Linked DNA regions of Anolis sagrei. Each later gene encodes a partner of the first gene's protein in a complex. Links are inferred from orthologs where the notes say so. Each region holds a gene or a part of one and is shown on either strand. Other genes may lie near its edges.

Evidence for each region.
Region 2: the proteins of WDR48 (region 1) and USP46 are in contact, whole or in part, in a crystal structure (PDB 6JLQ), measured with the Homo sapiens proteins. The link is inferred for Anolis sagrei from reciprocal best matches to the Homo sapiens genes WDR48 and USP46. Residues at the interface, in NP_065890.1 of Homo sapiens: Arg50, Trp77, Asp118, Tyr119, Lys121, Leu137, Arg139, Ser170, Tyr172, Thr188, Asp211, Asn212, Lys214, Ser230, Gly254, Trp256, Arg272, Ile364, Leu424, Lys425, Gly521; in NP_073743.2 of Homo sapiens: Arg181, Leu183, Asn184, Cys185, Glu186, Thr187, Cys222, Ser223, Glu224, Lys226, Cys232, Cys233, Ser234, Lys235, Gln236, Glu237, Gln239.

What each region holds. Positions count from the first base shown.
Region 1 is NC_090026.1:123,937,734-123,945,724, forward strand, and holds the start of WDR48 (WD repeat-containing protein 48), read left to right. Parts: upstream 1-4,902; 5' UTR 4,903-4,950; coding exon 4,951-4,998; intron 4,999-7,991. UniProt on the Homo sapiens protein: Regulator of deubiquitinating complexes, which acts as a strong activator of USP1, USP12 and USP46. Enhances the USP1-mediated deubiquitination of FANCD2; USP1 being almost inactive by itself.
Region 2 is NC_090025.1:75,293,795-75,301,164, reverse strand, and holds the start of USP46 (ubiquitin carboxyl-terminal hydrolase 46), read right to left. Parts: upstream 3,113-7,370; 5' UTR 2,633-3,112; coding exon 2,597-2,632; exon of another isoform or gene 2,584-2,596; intron 1-2,583. UniProt on the Homo sapiens protein: Deubiquitinating enzyme that plays a role in behavior, possibly by regulating GABA action. May act by mediating the deubiquitination of GAD1/GAD67.

The DNA.
Region 1 (7,991 bases):
TCTGTTTCCAAGTTCATGGTTAGTAAAAGGCTAACAGACTCTTGGTTATTGTTTTGTGGCTTTTGAAGTTTTGCTCAAGTTCAGAGATCCTATTGACTCCGGTGTTTTTCTGTGTTTTTTTTTACTCTGCATTTACCTTTCTTTTGTAACCAATTTTTCATCAATAAACAAGGATTGCTTTTCCTACAGTCCAGAGTGGTGGATTTAATCTTATGGTCTTGTTTCTTGAACTGGGATGCAACACATACAGTGGGTTATTGGGTGTCTTCTGTCCGAATTTGGTGTCAATTCGTCCAGTGGTTTTTGAGTTCTGTTAATCCCACAAACAAACATTACATTTTATTTATATGGAAGTCTAGCTGCCCCCTGCCACGTGTTGCTGTGGCCCAGTCTGGTGATCTGGAAAATAAAGTAATGAGAAAGTGTTGATTTCGAATATATGTAATGTCTTTCTGCTTGTGGGTAAACCGTATTTCTTGTTGTTTCTTTGTCAGTGTTGATGTGGAGAGTGTCTGGTTTGCCCACTCTGGAACATGCAACATATCATTGTCCTTCTTTAGGGGTCCCTTTCAAATCTCTGATACTATATCTGTGTGTGTGTGGATCATATCTCTATATATATATCTATGGCTGGATGGCTCTTTGTCAGGAGGGCTTTGATTACGTTTTCTTGTCCTGGTGAAGGGAGTTGGGCTGGATGGCCTTAAGTATTTTCTGTTGGTCATGGGGTTCTGTTTGGGAAGTCTGGCCCAAGTCTGTTGTTCGTAGTGTTCAGAATGCTCGGATTGTAGGTGAACTATAAATCCCAGTAACTACAACTCCCAAATGTCAACGTCTATTTTCCCCAAACTCCATGTTCATATTTGAGCATATGGAATATTTGTGCCAAGTTTGTTCCAGATCCATAATAGTTTGAGTCCACAGTGTTCTCTGGATGTAGATGAACTACAACTCCCAAACTCAAGGTCAATGCCCACCAAACCCTTCTAGTGTTTTCTGTTGGTCATGGGAGTCTTGTATGCCAAGTTTGGTTCAATTCCATTATTGGTGGAGTTCAGAATGCTCTTTGATTGTAGGTGAACTATAAATCCCAGCAACTACAACTCCCAAAAGATAAAATAAATTTTTTTGAGTAATGGTCACTTCTTGGGTTAGTAGGTGTCTTGTGGCCAAATTTGGTGGCAATTCATCCAGTGGTTTTTGAGTTCTGTTAATCCCACAAACAAACATTACATTTTTATTTATATAGACTAGCCACCCCCTGTCAGGCATTGCTGTGGCCCAGTCTGGTGAGGAAGAACTTCCTGACTGTGAGAGCCGTTCAGCAGTGGAACTCTCTGCCCCGGAGTGTGGTGGAGGCTCCTTCTTTGGAGGCTTTAAAGCAGAGGCTGGATGGCCATCTGTCAGGGGTGATTTGAATGCAATATTCCTGCTTCTTGAAAGGGGGTTGGACTGGATGGCCCATGAGGTCTCTTCCAACTCTTTGATTCTATGATTCTATGATTCTTTCTGCTTGTTGGCAAACAGTATTTCTTGCTGTTTCTCTGTCAGTGTTTATGTGGAGATTGTCTGGTTTGCCTACTCTGGGACATGCAACATATAATTGTCCTTCTTTAGGGGTCCCTTTCAAATCTATGTTATTGTTTCTCTGTGTGTGAATCATATATATCTATCTCTATCTATGGCTGGATGGCTCTTTGTCGGGAGGGCTTTGACTACGTTTTCATGCCCTGGTGAAGGGAGTTGGACTGAATGACTTTAAGTATTTTCTGTTGGTCATGGGGGTTCTGTGTGGGAAGTTTGCCCCAATTCCACCATTGGTGGGGTTCAGAATGCTCTTTGATTGTAGGTGAACTATAAATCCCAGTAACTACAACTCCCAAATGTTGACGTCTATTTTCCTCAAACTCCATGTTCATATTTGGGCATATGGAATATTTGTGCCAAGTTTGTTCCAGATCCATCATTGTTTGAGTCCACAGTGTTCTCTGGATGTAGATGAACTAATAATAATAATAATAATAATAATAACAACAACAACACTTTATTTGTGCCTCGCTACCATCTCTCCAAGGGACTCGGTGCGGCTTACATGAGGCCGAGCCCAAATACAATACACGCAATAATGACAACAATACAAGCAATTAAAATAAAAAAAACATGGACAATAAGATATGCAACATTAACAATAAGACAGCACACAATTAAAAATGTGGGAAGGCCAAATGTAGAATTAAAATTGAAAATAATGCTGGGGTTACAACTCCCAAACTCAAAGTCAATGCCCACCAAACCCTTCTAATGTTTTCTGTTGGTCATGGGAGTCTTGTATGCCAAGTTTGGTTCAATTCCATTATTGGTGGAGTTCAGAATGCTCTTTGATTGTAGGTGAACTATAAATCCCAGTAACTACAACTCCCAAATGTTGACGTCTATTTTCCTCAAACTCCATGTTCATATTTGGGCATATGGAATATTTGTGCCAAGTTTGTTCCAGATCCATCATTGTTTGAGTCCACAGTGTTCTCTGGATGTAGATGAACTAATAATAATAATAATAATAATAACAACAACAACACTTTATTTGTGCCTCGCTACCATCTCTCCAAGGGACTCGGTGCGGCTTACATGAGGCCGAGCCCAAATACAATACACGCAATAATGACAACAATACAAGCAATTAAAATAAAAAAAACATGGACAATAAGATATGCAACATTAACAATAAGACAGCACACAATTAAAAATGTGGGAAGGCCAAATGTAGAATTAAAATTGAAAATAATGCTGGGGTTACAACTCCCAAACTCAAGGTCAATGCCCACCAAACCCTTCTAATGTTTTCTGTTGGTCATGGGAGTCTTGTATGCCAAGTTTGGTTCAATTCCATTATTGGTGGAGTTCAGAATGCTCTTTGATTGTAGGTGAACTATAAATCCCAGTAACTACAACCCCCAAATGTCAAGGTCTATTTCTTCCAAACTCCCATCTGTGTTCATATTTAGGCATATGGAATATTTGTGCCAAGTTTGGTCCAGATCCATCGTTGTTTGAGTCCACAGTGCTCTCTGGGTGTAGGTGATCTACAACTCCAAAACCAAAGGACACTACCCACCAAACCCTTCCAGTCTTTTCTGTTGGTCATGGGAGCCCTGTGTGCTAAGTTTGGTTGAATTCCATCATTGGTGGGGTTCAGAATGCTCTTTGATTGTAGGTGAACTATAAATCCTAGTAACTACAACTCCCAAATGTCAACGTCTATTTCCCCAAACTCCACCAGTGTTCACATTTGGGCCTATTGAGTATTCTTGTAGAGTTTGGTCCAGATCCATCGTTGGTGGGATTCAGAATGCTCTTTGATTGTAGGTGAACTATAAATCCCAACAACTACAACTCCCAAATGACAAAATCAGATTTTTTTTTTTTTAGTGAAGGACATACATTGGGTTGTTAGGTGACTTATGTCCAAACTTGGTGTCAATTCGTCCAGTGGTTTTTGAGTTCTGTTAATCCCACAAACAAACATTACATTGTATTGTCGAAGGCTTTCATGGCCGGAATCACCGGGTTGTTGTAGGTTTTTTCGGGCTGTATGGCCATGTTCTAGAGGCATTCTCTCCTGACGTTTCGCCTGCATCTATGGCAAGCCTCCTCAGAGGTAGTGAGGTCTGTTGGAATTTGGAAAATGGGTTTATATATCTGTGGAATGACCAGGGTGGGACAAAGGGCTCTTCTCTGCTCGAGCTAGGTGTGAATGTTTCAACTGACCACCTTCATTAGCATTTGAAGACCTGGCTGAGCCTGGGAGAATCTTTTGTGGAGAGGTATTAAGATGTGCCCGAGCTAGGTGTGAATGTTTCAACTGACCACCTTCATTAGCATTTGAAGGCCTGGCTGAGCCTGAGGGAATCTTTTGTGGAGAGGTATTAAGATGTGCCCGAGCTAGGTGTGAATGTTTCAAGTGACCACCTTCATTAGCATTTGAAGGCCTGGCTGAGCCTGGGGGAATCTTTTGTGGAGAGGTATTAAGATGTGCCCGAGCTAGGTGTGAATGTTTCAAGTGACCACCTTCATTAGCATTTGAAGGCCTGGCTGAGCCTGGGGGAATCTTTTGTGGAGAGGTATTAAGATGTGCCTGAGCTAGGTGTGAATGTTTCAACTGACCACCTTCATTAGCATTTGAAGGCCAGGCTGAGCCTGGGGGAATCTTTTGTTGAGAGGTATTAAGATGTGCCCGAGCTAGGTGTGAATGTATCAAGTGATCACCTTCATTAGCATTTGAAGGCCTGGCTGAGCCTGGGGGAATCTTTTGTGGAGAGGTATTAAGATGTGCCCGAGCTAGGTGTGAATGTTTCAACTGACCACCTTCATTAGCATTTGAAGGCCAGGCTGAGCCTGGGGGAATCTTTTGTGGAGAGGTATTAAGATGTGCCCGAGCTAGGTGTGAATGTTTCAACTGACCACCTTCATTAGCATTTGAAGGCCTGGCTGAGCCTGGGGGAATCTTTTGTGGAGAGGTATTAAGATGTTTTTGCTGTTTTTATTTACATTACATTTTTATGTATATAGATAGCTAGATTGAAGTTATTATTGAGCTTTCTGTCATTAACATTTCCCATTGACTAGAGCTGTTGTGATACAGCAACCTTTGGCAGACTACTTGCTCTGTTGAGTCAGGAAACTCAACTGCCACTAGTCAAGTCTCGCGAGAGACAGAGAGAGAGAAACGGGAAAAAGCAAAACCCCGCGCCCGCTCGTAATAACGGCTGCCATAGCAACCCCTCAGGAGCCACGCCCCTTTCTTCCCGCCTGCTTGTTTGAGGAACAGAGGGGAAGCCCTTGACAGGCAGAGCCAGACCAAGCGGGGGCGGGACTTCCGGGCCGGCGGACGCCTCTCCTCCTCCCCCCTCCCCCCCACCCGGAAATGACGACGGAGTGTCAACATGCAAGATGGCGGCTCATCACAGGCAGAACACGGCCGGGCGGCGGAAAGTACAGGTGAGGGAGGCGAAAGGAAGGGCCGGCGAGGGCGGAGGGGGGGAGGCGAGGGTTAGGAGGGTCGAGGCCCGGCTCCTGGACCCTGAGGAGGAAGGAGAAGGGGGAAGAGGGCCAAGGTGCGGGGAGGAGGAGGAGAGGAGGGAGGCGGCTTGGCGGGAAGACCCAGGGGCCTCCGTTGTCCGTGGCAACGGGAGAACTTCCCTCAGCATCCTGCCTCTCTCCCTCGCTCCTCTTCCTCCTTCTCCTCCTCCTTTCAACCTTAATCTATATAAATACAAATGTAATGCTGGTTTGTAGGATTAACAGAACTCAGAAACCACTGGGGGAATTGACACCAAATTTGGACAGTACAGCCCTAACAAACAGTACAATTTGGACAGTACAGCCCTAAATGAAGGGCAATGAGTGTTCATCACCCCAAAAATTACAAAAACCAACAAAACTCCTAGCAGAACTGACTTAAAAAACCCAAAAATATACCATATATGTGTGTGTGTGTGTATCCATATCCATATTTTATTTATTTACTTTATTTGTATACCGCTCTTCTCAGCCCTTAAGCCACTCAGAGCGGTTTACAACAGTTTAGATATACAGAATACAAAATCATTATGCATTTAAAAACAATTACTAGTATTATATTGCATTACATTACAATATTATAAATATTATATGTATATACAATATATTATATTATAACATATTATTAGAATAGCACAGGAGACAAGGTGGAACTGTCCCCTGGCCCCTCTTTCTTCGCTCTGGCCCAGAGCGGCAGTTGGTGCTGGGGGGGAGGGGTCCCCAACGGGTCCCCCACACACATATATATACACACACATACACGAGGACAAGCCCGTCAAATACAAATACAACAATACATCAACAAACAAGCAAGCAAATAAAACAATATAAATAATACAGTTAAACATATAAGCAATAGCACACAAAAGATTTTAAAGCATTATTACAAACCCAGATGTAGATTAAAATTTCAAAACCCTGGGTGTGAACAGAGTAGGGTATGTCTACGCATGGGAGGGTTTTAAAGAGTGATATGGGGGGATCAATCCAGATAGATAAAGTGCTTATATCCATATATATATATATATACACACACATACATACATATACACACACACATATATATATACACACACACGCACACACACTCATGTACACATGCACACACAAATATACACATGCACACATATATAAACACAAATATGCATATAGACAATCACACATATACACAATATACATATCTACATATAAACACACAAATATATATGCACATATACACATCTTCACATACACATATGCACACACATATATACACCCACATATATATATATATATATATATATATATATTATATACACGCAAACACATATATACACACACACACACACAAAACACTTATATACAGACTGGGCCACAGCAACGTGTGGCAGGGGACAGCTGATAATAATGATAATGATAATAATAATAATAATACTTTATTTATACCTTGCCACCATCTCCCCGAAGGGACTCAGGGCGGCTTACATGAGGACAAGCCCATCAAATACAAATACAACAATACATCAACAAACAAACAAGCAAATAAAACAATATAAATAATGCAGTTAAACATATAAGCAATAGCACACAAAAGATTTAAAAGCATTATTGCAAGGCCAGATGTAGATTAAAATTTTAAAATCCTGGGTGTGTACAGAGTAGGGTATGTCTAGGCATGGGGGGTTTTAAAGAGTGATATGGGGGGATCAATCCAACGGATAGATAAAGTGCTTCAGAGGACATATGGAAGGAAATTGGTCAGATCAAGCATTATTTCCTTCATTCAGGGAAGGCACACTGGAACAGCCACGTTTTCAATCTCCTCCTAAAGACTGCCAAGGTGGGAGCTTGTCTGATAACTTTAGGTAGAGAGTTCCAGAGTCGGGAGGCCACCATAGTGAAAGCCCTCTCCCTCGTCCCCACCAATTGCACCTGCATGGCAGAGGACAACTAGTAATAATAATAATAATAATAATAATAATAATAATAATAATAATATTTATTTATACTCCGCCACCATCTCCCCGAAGGGACTCAGGGCGGCTTACATGAGGACAAGCCCGTCAAATACAAATACAATAATACATCAATAAACAAGCAAGCAAATAAAACAATATAAATAATACAGTTAAACATATAAGCAATAGCACACAAAAGATTTAAAAGCATTATTGCAAGACCAGATGTAGATTAAAATTTTAAAACCCTGGATGTGTACAGAGTAGGGTATGTCTAGGCATGGGGGGTTTTAAAGAGTGATATGGGAGGAATCAATCCAACAGATAGATAAAGTGCTTCAGAGGACATATGGAAGGAAATTGGTCAGATCGGGCATTATTTTCTTCATTCAGAGAAGGCACACTGGAACAGCCATGTTTTCAATCTCCTCCTAAAGACTGCCAAGGTGGGAGCTTGTCTGATATCTTTAGGTAGAGAATTCCAGAGTCGGGGGGCCACCATAGAGAAGGCCCTCTCCCTCGTCTCCACCAATCAGGCCTGCGAAGAGGGTGGGAGCGAGAGCAGGGCCTCCGCAGATGAACAAAGAGATCGCGTGGGTACATAAACAGAAATGTGGTCGCATAGGTAGACGGGTCCCAAATCGTTCAAGGCTTTGTCGGTAAGAACCTGCACCTTGAATTGGGACCGGAAATGAAGGGCAGCCAATGGAGCTCCTTAAACAGGGGTTAACCACTCTCTGTAAGTCACTCCAGTTAGGAGCCTGACTGCAGCCTGTTAAACCAATTAAAATTTCCGAGCCGTCTTCAAGGGCAGCACCACGTAGAGTTCATTGCAGTAATCCAGTCTGGAGGTGACTAAGGCATGGACCACCATGATCAGATCTGACTTCACGAGCTGGTGCACAAGTTTTAATTGTGGGAAGGCCCTCCCCGCCACCGCTGACGTCTGAGCTTCAAGCGTTAGCGATGAGTCTT
Region 2 (7,370 bases), on another chromosome or scaffold:
GTCCCCTCATATTTTTGAGTTTACACTAGCCTTGGCCCGGCCTTTTAACTGCTCTGAACAGGCAGGATTATTTTATAATATACATGTGTTATTGTGATAATTTTATGCTAATTTGTTTTGTTAATTTTATGTCATGCTGTTTACTCTGTATGTTTTGGTGATCTTACTTGGAAACCACCCTGAGCCCTCCTCGGGGAGATAGAGCAGTATATAAATAAAGTTTATTGTTGTTGCTGTTGTTGTCTGCATTGATAATCCTTCTACACTGCCATATAAAATCCAGATTGACTGCTTTGAACTGGATTATATGGCAGTGTTGACTCATATAATCCAGTTCAAAGCATATAATGAGGCTTATCTAGTTTGATAATCTGGATTATATGCCTCACACACTTCAAGTATCATCCCTGTTTGCTTGATGCTGCCTTTCTGCACCTTTTCCAATACACACAGAGAGCATGCATCTGTGGGCCCTTCCACACAGCCCTATATCCCAGAATATCAAAGCAGGAAATCCCACATCATCTGACTCCGATAACCCAGTTCAAAGCAGATGTTGTGGAATTTTCTGCCTTGATATTCTGGGATATAGGGCTGTGTGGAAGGGCCCTATATTGTGGAATATAGGGCCCACTTTAGCCACTACAGCTCAAGGCTATGATTTGGCCAAGGTGGTCCACGCCTTGGTTACATCCAAACTGGACTATTGCAATGCGCTCTATGTGGGGTTGCCCTTGAAGACGGCCCGGAAGTTTGAACTGGTACAGCGGGTGGCTGCCAGGCTCCTTACTGGAGCAAACTATAGGGAGCATACAACACCCCTCTTAAAACAGCTTCATTGGCTGTCGATAAGTTGCTGAGCCAAACTCAAGGTGCAGGTCATGACCTATAAAGCCCTAAACAGTTCGGGCCCTGCCTATCTCTGCGATCGCATCTCCTTCTGGTTCGGGCCCCAGAATGAACAGCCACAGACCCATACCTAATATTATTTTTGCCTGCCATAGCATTGCACTTAATTCCCGGGCAAGAATTTTTGGGCTTGCACAAATCTTGGCCCGGCCTTTTAAATTTTTAATTGCCTTGAACATCGAAGATTACTTTTAATATATGTGTGTTATGGTGACAATTTTTATGCTTATATTTTGTTTGATAATCTTATGGTTATGTTGTTTTTACTCTGTATGTTTTGTGATGTTACCTGGGAACTGCTCTGAGTCCCCTTGGGGAGATAAAGCGGTATATAAATAAAGTTTATTATTTATTTATTTATTTATTTCAGTTACTTTTACCCCGCCCTTCTCAAACCCCAAGGGGGGGACTCAGGGCGGCTTACAAAAAAGGCACAATTCGATGCCTACATAGAGTACATGTACATATAAAAACAGCAATCAACATTTATCACAATTAAACAATCAATATATAACACAATCACTAAAAACTAATCACAAGCTCAGCGTGCGTCTTTCAGAGTTCCATAATTCCATTCTATTTGTCAATTCCAGTCTATCGCCACGTCCTTTTTCATCTGCCAGGTTGTCCAAATGCCTGATCCCAAATCCCTGTTGTCAGTTTTTTTCTGAAGGAAAGAAGGGATGTTGCCGATCTAATTTCCCCCGGGAGTGAATTCCACAGGTGAGGGGCCACCACCAAGAAGGCCCTGCTTCTCGTCCCCGCCAATCTCACTTGTGATAGAGGTAGGGTCGAGAGCAAGGCCTCCCCAGAAGATCTTAGATTCCGAGGTGGGACGTAGAAGGAGAGCCGTTCGGACAGATACACTGGGCCGGAACCATATAGGGTTTTGTAGGTCAAAACCAGCACTTTGAATTGTGCTCGGAATTGGATTGGCAGCCAGTGGAGCTGACATAACAGGGGGTGGTATGCTCCTTGTATGACGCTCCGGTGAGCAGTCTGGTTGCCTCCCACTGGACTAATTGAAGTTTCTGAACAGTCTTCAAAGGCAACCCCACGTAGAGTGCATTGCAGTAATCTAACCGGGATGTAACAAGAGCGTGGACCACCGTGGCCAGATCCGACTTCCCAAGGTACGGGCGCAGCTGGCGCACAAGTTTTAATTGTGCGAAAGCTCTCCCGGCCACCGCCACGACCTGGGGTTCCAGGCTCAGCGATGAGTCCAGGATCACTTCCAAACCTGCTTTGAATATCTGCTTTGAACTGAGTTATTGTAGTCGACACTGGCATATAATCCACTTCAAAGCAGATAATGTGGAGTTTTATACAGATGTGGAAAGGGGCCCTTGTCAAACTACATTTCTCAAGATCCCACAGCATTGAGCCAAGGCAGTGAAAAGTGGTGCCAAAGTGCATCAATTCAACAATGCAGATGCACCCTTAGAGACATAACTCTGGGCGGTTTGGAGTGCAGATCCCACCTATGAGGGGCCATTCCTGGAAAAGGCGGGGTTTTGCCTTGTGCAAGGAGGACTCCTCAGGGTTGGGCGGCCCCTTACTCTCAGGAAAAGGGCGGTGCTGGAAATCTGGCAAGAAGGAGCCCCACCTCCTGCTTTTTGTGCAAAATCCGATCCCCCTCCTCCTCCCAAAAAGAATCATAGCAGAGCCCTTGCCCTCCAGTACTCACCATATTACAAATGGAGGCGATGTTTCTGACAGTCATGAGTCTAAAGGTTGCAGCGATCCCCCACCGCCATCTTTATGAGGTGAAACCCGAAACGGTCATGGTTGGGGGAAGGGGGGGGGGGAGGAAGAGGAGGAGGAAAGAGAGACAGGGGCAGGAGGAAAGCTCTAGCTTGGGGATCCGAGGATCAGACGGCGGGAAGAGAGAGAGAGAGAGGGATGAGCCAAGCCTCCAGCCCTTCCTTCTCTGCCTTTGCCGGCTGCTCCTTCCTCTCTCTCCACTGCGCCGCCTCCCTAGCCCTCTCCTTATTTGCTGAACCGATCGCCTAGATCTACAGGGATCCGCTGTGTCCTGGCTAGGACTGGACTACTACTAATCCCCCTCTCCCGCTTCCTCTTCTTCTCCTTCCTCTTCCTCCTCCTCCTCTTCCCTTCTCTCCATCGCCGAGCAGCGCCCCAGTGATCAACTTTGACAGCGGCATTGAAAACAAGGGAAGGTCAATCCCCGCGAGTGGCGTGGCCGGCAACCAACCGCTTGGCCCAATTGGAGGGAGGCAGCCAATGGGGAGGCGCGGAAGGCCAAAGGGGATGGTCCCACCCACTGGGGCACCCAAGAGGAGAAGAGTTTTAGGGGGAAAGGGACCTTGGCCTGGGTTTGGCTTGAGTTCCTCCAGAAAAAATAATAATTAAGGCTTCTTCTACAATTACATCTAATGAGGCCTTGCCACTTGATGCCTGCTGTCTGTTGACAACGTTTGCCCTGTTGCAGGAGACCCCAAATTGTCTTAGGCCAGTGATGGGCAACCTTTTGAGCTTGGTGTGTTAAAATTCGCCCAAAAACTGAGTATAACTCAGGTGGGGTGTCACTATGAGAAACAAACCATAATTTCACAATATTTATAGTTTACTAGCCGTCCCCTGCCACGCTTTGCTGTGGCCCACATGGGAGTTCTGTGTGGGATGTTTGGCCCAATTCTATCGTTGGTGAGGTTCAGAATGCTCTTTGATTGCAGGTGAACTATAAATCCCAGCAACTACAATTCCCAAATGTCAAGATTCTATTTTCCCCAAAGTCCACCAGTTACGTAGGTGAATTCCCCTCCCATCTGAGGGATGGCTGATCAACAGGGGGAGAGCTCCATATTGATACCAACAGCTGCCTACCAGTAAGTGGGATTTGGGAGACTTTCAAGGTCCCCAAAAGGCACTACATCAAGATCATGAATACATGGCAGTTATGACTATTTAATTGTAGGGGCCCTTCCACACAGCACTATATCCCAGAATATCAAGACAGAAAATCCCACAATATCTGCTTTGAACTTGCTGCCGATCCAGTTCCGAGCACAATTCAAAGTGCTGGTTTTGACCTATAAAACCCTATACGGTTCCAGCCCAGTGTACCTGTCCAAACGTAGCTCTTTCTATGTCTCATCTTGGAGCTTAAGATCTTCTGGGGAGGCCCTGCTCTCGGCCCCACCTCTGTCTCAAACGGGCTTGGTGGGGACAAGGAACAGGGCCTTCTTGGTGGTGGCCCCCACCTGTGGAATTCACTCCCCAGGGAAATTAGGTTATCTTCATCCCTCCTCTCCTTTAGAAAGAAATTAAAAACATGGATGTGGGACCAGGCATTTGAGTAACTATGCGGACAATGGCAATGATGACAATGACTATGATAATGGACTATGGATAAGTTTGATGGAGTCTCCAACCACAGAATTCAGCTAGATAATGGCCACTAGACTGGTATTGTTAGCAGTTTTTAATTATATTGACTTAATGTTTTAACTATATATAATTATTGGCTTTTGTTATGTATTTTATTATGTGTACATAGAGCAGCATTTCTCAACCTGGGGGTCAGGACCCCTGGGGGGGTCGTGAGGGGGCATCAGAGGAGTCGCCAAAGACCATCAGAAAACACAGTATTTTCTGTTGGTCATGGGGGTTCTGTGTGCCCAGTTCTATTGTTAGTGGAGTTCAGAATACTCTTTGATTATAGGTGAACTATAAATCCCAGTAACTACAACTCCCAAAGGTCAAGGTCTATTTTCCCCAAATTTCACTAATGTTCACATTTGGGGATATTGAGTATTCGTGCCAAGTTTGGTCCAGATCCATCACTGTTTGAGTCCAAAGTGCTCTCTGGATGTAGGTGAACTACAACTCCAAAACCAAAGGGCACTGCCCACCAAAGCCTTCCAGTATTTTCTGTTGTGCCAAGTTTGGTTCAATTCCATAGTTGGTGGGGTTCAGAATGCTCTGTGATTGTAGGTGAACTATTTATTATTTATCGTGTCATCAGCAACCATTGTATTACAATTCTAACAGAGCAGAACAAAACACTGAGATTAAAAAGAAAAAGAAAAAAAACCACACAGATTTTGCGAATTTGGTAGTTGGTTAAATGTCCTTTGACCAGTATCTGGCCACTTGGAGTGCCTCTGGGGTTGCCGCAAGAAGGTCCTTCATCGTGCATGTGGCAGGGCTCAGGTTGCATTGCAGCAGGTGGTCAGTGGTTTGCTTCTCTCCACACTCGTATGTCGTGGATTCCACTTTGTAGCCCCATTTCTTAAGATTAGTTCTGCATCTTGTGGTGCCAGAGCGCAGTCTGTTCAGCGCCTTCCAAGTTGCCCAGTCTTCTGTGTGCCCAGGGGGGAGTCTCTCATTTGGTATCAGCCACTGGTTGAGGTTCTGGGTTTGAGCCTGCCACTTTTGGACTCTCGCTTGCTGAGGTGTTCCAGCGAATGTCTCTGTAGATCTTAGAAAACTATTTCTTGATTTAAGTCATTGACATGCTGGCTGATGCCCAAACAAGCTGGAGATGTCACTGCCTTTGGTCCTTTCACTATTGGCTGCCACTTTCCGGCGGATGTCAGGTGGTGCAATACCAGCTAAACAGTGTAATTTCTCCAGTGGTGGAAGGCGCAGATACCCTGTGATAATGCAGCATGTCTCATTAAGAGCCACATCCACTGTTTTAGTGTGGTGAGATGTGTTCTGCACTGGGCATGCATACTCAGCAGCAGAGTAGCATAGCGCAAGAGCAGATGTCTTCACTGTATCTGGTTGTGATCCTCAGGTTGTTCCATTCAGCTTTCGTATAAGAAGTTTCTGGGCTGTATGATCGTGTTCTAGAAGCATTTTCTCCTGATATTTCACTTGCATCTGTGGCTGGCATCTTCAGTGCAGAACACAAAACATCAGAAGAAAATGCTGCTGGAAAACGGCCATACAGTCCTGAAACCACACAACACCCTCATTGTGAATTATTGTGAAAAAGAACTTCCAAATGAGTGTATGTAATAAGACTACAAATCTGCAATTCTTTTTTCCCCCATTCTTCTTTCAGAAGAGGACATTGCCTATTACCCATGCCACTAACCCATTATCAATTGATATCCAACTTCCAAGACACCGGCTTCCAAAGCATTGTGAGCTCTTCACAGATCTATTTTATTGACATGGGGGAGGGCTAGGCATGGCATCACAACAAAGTCAGACTTTCCAGAGCATTGTGGAAAATTACATTTGTAATTCTCATCACCTTCGAAGTTTGACTATTGCTGCTGTCATATAACCTCAAAAAAATCTTCTGACCTTCAAGAGGGAGCCAACAGAAACAATCTTGCCCAAGGTCCATTTAGACATGGATCTTGTTGTTGTTCATTTGTTCAGTCGTCTCCGACTCTTCGTGACCTCATGGACCAGTCCACGCCAGAGCTCCCTGTCGGCCGTCACCACCCCCAGCTCCTTCAAGGTCAGTCCAGTCACTTTGAGGATGCCATCCATCCATCTTGTCCTTGGTCGGCCCCTCTTCCTTTTGCCTTCCACTTTCCCCAGCATAATTGTCTTCTCTAGGCCTTGCTGTCTCCTCATGATGTGGCCAAATTACTTCAACTTTGTCTCTAGTATCCTTCCCTCCAATGAGCAGTCGGGCTTTATTTCCTGGAGGATGGACTGGTTGGATCTTCTCGCAGTCCAAGGCACTCTCAGAACTTTCCTCCAACACCACAGCTCAAAAGCATCTATCTTCCTTCGCTCAGCCTTCCCTAAGGTCTAGCTCTCACATCCGTAGGTTACTACAGGGAATACCATGGCTTTGACTAGGCAGATCTTTGTTGCCAGTCTGATGTCTCTACTCTTTACTATTTTATCGAGACTGGACATTGCTCTCCTCCCAAGAAGTAAGCGTCTAGAAATACAAAGTCTGTCACGGCCTCCACGTTTTCTCCCTCTATTTCCCAGTTGTCAATCATTCTTGTTGCCATAATCTTGGTTTTTTTTTTTTAATGTTTAGCTGCAACCCAGCTTTTGCGGTTTCTTCTTTCACCTTGATTAGAAGGCTCCTCAGCTCCTCCTCGCTTTCGGCCATCAGAGTGGTGTCATCTGCATATCTGAGGTTGTTAATGTTTCTTCCAGCAATTTTCACCCCGGCTTTGCATTCATCAAGCCCCGCACATCGCATGATGAGTTCTGCATACAAGTTAAAAAGGTTGGGTGAGAGGATGCAGCCTTGCCGTACGCCTTTCCCAATCTTGAACCAGTCTGTTGTTCCGTGGTCAGTTCTGACTGTTGCTACTTGGTCCTTGTACAGATTCCTCAGGAGAGAGACAAGGTGGCTTGGGATGCCCATCCCACCAAGAACTTGCCACAGTTTATTATGATCCACACAGTCAAAGGCTTTAGAATAGTCAATGAAGCAAAAATAGATGTTTTTCTGAAACTCCCTGCCTTTCTCCATTATCCAGCGGATATTGGCAATCTGGTCTCTCGTT